Linked DNA regions of Macaca mulatta. The protein of the gene in region 1 interacts with the protein of each later gene in a biochemical or structural test. Links are inferred from orthologs where the notes say so. Each region holds a gene or a part of one and is shown in the gene's direction. Other genes may lie near its edges.

Evidence for each region. The genes of interacting proteins can lie anywhere in the genome.
Region 2: the proteins of PNN (region 1) and RNPS1 form a complex in vitro, tested with the Homo sapiens proteins (3 studies listed by BioGRID and IntAct). The link is inferred for Macaca mulatta from reciprocal best matches to the Homo sapiens genes PNN and RNPS1.

What each region holds. Positions count from the first base shown.
Region 1 is NC_133412.1:112,292,418-112,294,974, forward strand, and holds part of PNN (pinin), read left to right. Parts: intron 1-831; coding exon 832-987; intron 988-1,064; coding exon 1,065-1,203; intron 1,204-2,176; coding exon 2,177-2,557. UniProt on the Homo sapiens protein: Transcriptional activator binding to the E-box 1 core sequence of the E-cadherin promoter gene; the core-binding sequence is 5'CAGGTG-3'. Capable of reversing CTBP1-mediated transcription repression.
Region 2 is NC_133425.1:3,489,831-3,492,199, reverse strand, and holds the end of RNPS1 (RNA-binding protein with serine-rich domain 1), read left to right. Parts: intron 1-876; exon of another isoform or gene 877-928; coding exon 929-1,028; coding exon of another isoform or gene 1,029-1,095; 3' UTR 1,096-1,869; downstream 1,870-2,369. UniProt on the Homo sapiens protein: Part of pre- and post-splicing multiprotein mRNP complexes. Auxiliary component of the splicing-dependent multiprotein exon junction complex (EJC) deposited at splice junction on mRNAs.

The sequences.
Region 1 (2,557 bases):
TCCCAGCACTTTGGGAGGCTGAGGCGGGTGGATCACCTGAGGTCAGGAGTTAGAGACCAGCCTGGCCAACATAGTGAAACCATGTCTCTAGTAAAAATACGAAATTTAGCCGCGTGTGGTGGCATGCACCTGTAATCTCAGCTATTTGGGAGGTGGAGGCAGGGGAATCACTTAAACCCTGGAGGTGAGGTTGCAGTGAGCCAGGATCGCGCCATTGCACTCCAGCCTGGGCAACCGGCGCAAAACTCCATCTCAAAAAAAGAAAAAATGTGACACATGTGCAGATACCTTTTTTTTTTTTTTTTTTTTTTTTGGGTAGAGATGGGGTTTCATCAAGTTGCCCAGGCTGGGCTGAGCTCAAAGCAGTCCATCCACCTCAGCCTCCCAGAGTGCTGGGATGACAGGTGTGAGCCACCATGCCCGGCCTGCAGATACCTTTACATAGTAAAAAAAAAAAAAAAAATTTGAATCGGAGTTTGGCTCTTCTTGCCCATGCTGGAGTGCAGTGGCGTGATCTCAGCTCCCTGCAGCCTCCGCCTCCAGGGTTCAAGTGATTCTCCTGCTTCAGCCTCCCAAGTAGCTGGGATTATAGGTGGGCATGACCATGCCCGCTAATATTTTTGTGTTTTTAGTAGAGATGGTGTTTCACCGTGTTGGTCAGGCTGGTCTCAAACTCCTGACTTCAGATGATCTACCTACCTCTGATGTTTCACATAATTAGTATGTGTAATAACTTTTTATTATAATTGAACTGAAATCATATATACCTTGTGTGTATTTCTTGTAACTGTTTCAACACATAAGTATTAAAGCAGGGTACTTAACTTTTAGCAAAAGCGGCGCCAGGAAATTGAACAAAAACTTGAAGTTCAGGCAGAAGAAGAAAGAAAGCAGGTTGAAAATGAAAGGAGAGAACTGTTTGAAGAGAGGCGTGCTAAACAGACAGAACTGCGGCTTTTGGAACAGAAAGTTGAGCTTGCGCAGCTGGTGAGTGGTAATTTCGAATTCTAAGATTGGTAATCCTTTATGTTTACAAAAGCACTGACCTTTTACCTTTTCTTTAGCAAGAAGAATGGAATGAACATAATGCCAAAATAATTAAATATATAAGAACTAAGACAAAGCCCCATTTGTTTTATATTCCTGGAAGAATGTGTCCAGCTACCCAAAAATTAATAGAAGAGTCACAGAGAAAAATGAATGGTAAGTGTGTGAAGAGGTCCATTGAATTGTTCATAGCGGGTAAGGTAGTATGTTCATACGCACAAGTTTGTTTTCTAAAATACTTATGATTCAGTGATTGGTTTGCTGTGTTTGGTTTTTTAAAAAAAATAAGATATAAGATATTCTAGGCCGGGCACTGTGGTTCACGCCTGTAATCCCAGCACTTTGGGAGGCCAAAGCAGGCCAATCACGAGGTCAGGAGATCGAGACCATCCTGGTTAACACAGTGAAACCCCGTCTCTAGTCTCTACTAAAAATACAAAAAAAAAATTAGCTGGGCATGGTGGTAGAAGCCTGTAATTCTAGCTACTTGGCAGGCTGAGGCAGGAGAATCACTTGAACCTGGGAGGCAGAAGTTGCAGTGAGCCAAGATCGCGCCACTGAACCTCCAGCCTGGGCAACAGATCTAGACTCCGTCTCAAAAAAAAAAAGATACATTCTGAGATGCTGGTGAGTTTGTAGTATAGGAATATTTGTATCATGGAGTTTAATGTGAAAGTTATAGACAGTGCTTATGCATCTGTATTCCTTAAGCATTTGTGTATAATTTTTTTTTGCATGCTACTCTTATTCTGATAAAATGCTAAGAAGACAAATGTGAAAACCAACAGTTTCTAGATGGAACACACATGGAAGGATAGACACTGCTAAGATGATGATTTGTCTCTTTGGGATCAGAAAAATTAATACATAAAGATTAATCTGTTTTATCAGTTAGAAAATGTCTAGTTCTGTCTGCCACTAATTTCTAGTATGTAGATTTCCCATGGATCTTTGCTTTTATAATTTTATGTCAGTTTGTGATTACTTAATTGCCATAGTAGTATTTTGTCATAACTCTACAAAAACAAATCCAGATGAAGCTTAATGACAATTTGTGACCAGTTGTAAAATTGTGGCTTTGAATTTTGTTAATCGGTAAATTTTACACATGTAAATTTTTATTCTTTAGCTTTATTTGAAGGTAGACGCATCGAATTTGCAGAACAAATAAATAAAATGGAGGCTAGGCCTAGAAGACAATCAATGAAGGAAAAAGAGCATCAGGTGGTGCGTAATGAAGAACAGAAGGCGGAACAAGAAGAGGGTAAGGTGGCTCAGCGAGAGGAAGAGTTGGAGGAGACAGGTAATCAGCACAATGATGTAGAAATAGAGGAAGCAGGAGAGGAAGAGGAAAAGGAAATAGCAATTGTTCATAGTGATGCAGAGAAAGAACAGGAGGAGGAAGAACAAAAACAGGAAATTGAGGTTAAGATGGAGGAGGAAACTGAGGTAAGGGAAAGTGAGAAGCAGCAGGATAGTCAGCCTGAAGAAGTTATGGATGTGCTAGAGA
Region 2 (2,369 bases), on another chromosome or scaffold:
ACCCGTTCCCAAGAGCTCAGGGCAGGCCCATCAGGTGGGACCTGTCCCAATTTCTGGTATTAAAAACTAAAACTTCGGCTGGGTGTAGTGGCTCACGCCTGTAATCCCAGCACTTTGGGACGCTGAGGTGGGCGGATACGAGGTCAGGAGATTGAGACCATCCTGGCTAACACATTGAAACCCCATCTCGGCCGGGCGCGGTGGCTCAAGCCTGTAATCCCAGCACTTTGGGAGGCCGAGGCGGGTGGATCACGAGGTCAGGAGATCGAGACTATCCTGGCTAACACGGTGAAACCCCGTCTCTACTAAAAATACAAAAAATTAGCCGGGCGTGGTAGCGGGCACCTGTAGTCCCAGCTACTTGGGAGGCTGAGGCGGGAGAATGGTGTGAACCAAGGGGGCGGAGCTTGCAGTGAGCCGAGATCGTGCCACTGCACTCCAGCCTGGGAGACACAGCGAGACTCCGTCTCAAAAAAAAAAAAAAAAAAAAAGAAACCCCATCTCTACTAAAAATAGAAAAAATTAGCTGTGCGTGGTGGCGGGCGCCTGTAGTCCCAGCTACTTGGGAGGTTGAGGCAGGAGAATGGCGTGAACCCGGAAGGTGGAGCTTGCAGTGAGCTGAGATTGCACCACTGCACTCAGCCTGGGAGACAGAGTGAGACTCCATATCAAAAAAAAGAATACAAATATTAGCTGGGCATGGTGGCGCACGCCTGTAGTCCCGTTTGTTTGGTAGGGTGAGGCAGGCGAATCGCTTCAAGCCGGGAGGCAGAGGTTGTGGTGAGCCGAGATCGTGCCACTGCACTCTGACCTGGCGACAGAGTGAGATTCTGTCTCAGAAAAGTAAAACTGGGGAATTACCCAGAAAGAAGCTAGCTTGCCCCCTACAGCCTGAGCTACTCTGATGTGGTTTCTCCTCTTCCTGCAGGTCCCGCTCTCCGAGGCGCAGGTCCCCTGTGCGCCGGAGATCACGCTCCCCGGGACGCCGCCGCCACAGGAGCCGCTCCAGCTCCAACTCCTCCCGATAAACAGGCCACTGAAGCTCTCGCCCCTGTAACTTATACCCCACCCAGCTCAGTTTTGTCACTTTTCTAGCCAAAGGAAGATCAGTAGGAAAGCAAACCCTTCACTCGGGCAGAATTTGCAGGCAGCAGTCAGCACCCCTCTGCCGGCCGGGCTCTGGCTGCAGAAGTGCTGTTGGTTTGGGTGTTGTGTGCCTGTCAAGATTCCCTCCGGTTTTGTGGCTAGGAAGCTCGCCCGCTTCCAGTTTCTAAGAGTCAGTTCAGTGGCAGGGCCACCAGGGACAGGTGAGGCTCTGGGGGATGGTGTGACCCTGCCTGCCTGGGAGCACACTTTTCCCTTCCCTAGTTACCTGAGATGGTTGCCAGACTGTGCCCTTGCTGTTGCTGGGCGGTGTCCTTTTGGAAAGGGAGCCGTCCCGAGCTTTAGTGCAGCTGCCAACCCTGTTAGCCTCGGCCTCTTGAGGCCTCTTCCAACTTCAAGGGTCACACACCCCCAAAGATCCTCTCACCTATGGTAATTGCTGTGCATGGTTCTGTCTGTCCGTGCACCCATGCACACACCCCACCCCACCACCCTACTCTGAAACTGGCGAGTGAGAGCCAGCTGTGCGGGATCATCAAGCAGCCATGGTTGTGCCTGCCCTTCGTGGTGGTCTTTCAGGTTATCTTGGCAACATGTACATTGCTTTTTTTTTTTTTTTTTGCTTTTTTGCTTTTATTGTACAGTCAGTACTATAAAATTTCTCTTTGAGTTTTATACCTTTGTAGCATTTTAGATGACATTGTGTTTGTACTTTGTTGTGTAGAGTGGAAGAATTGTGTTGAATAAACCCAAGATTGGAATGCAGATCTAGTACTGGGTTCACTGCCTTCTCACTGTACCCTCGCCCCTAGTAACTTTCTGTTCCTCAACATCCACAGTGGCACCTCCAATGCTTTGTCAGGAGAATCTAGGGTTTGTGTGCTGTGGGTATTAGGTTGCTGCTGTGGAGATGGTTTTATCACCCCCTCGGAATGTGTGTGTGTTTTGAGACAGACTCTCGCTCTTTCACCCAGGCTGGAGTGCGTACCATGGTGCGATCATAGCTCACTACAGCCTCCAACTCCTGTTTCAGCCTCCAGAGTAGCAGGGGAAATTTTTTTTTTTTTTTTTTTTTTTTTCAGACGGAGTCTCTTGCCTGGGTTGGAGTGCAGTAGTGTGTTCTTGGCTCACTACAACCTCTGCCTCCTGGGTTCAAGCGATTTTCCTGCCTCAGCCTCCTGAGTAGCTGGAATTACAGGCACCACCCACCACGCCCAGCTAATTTTTTGTATTTCTAGTAGAGATGGGGTTTCACCACGTTGGCC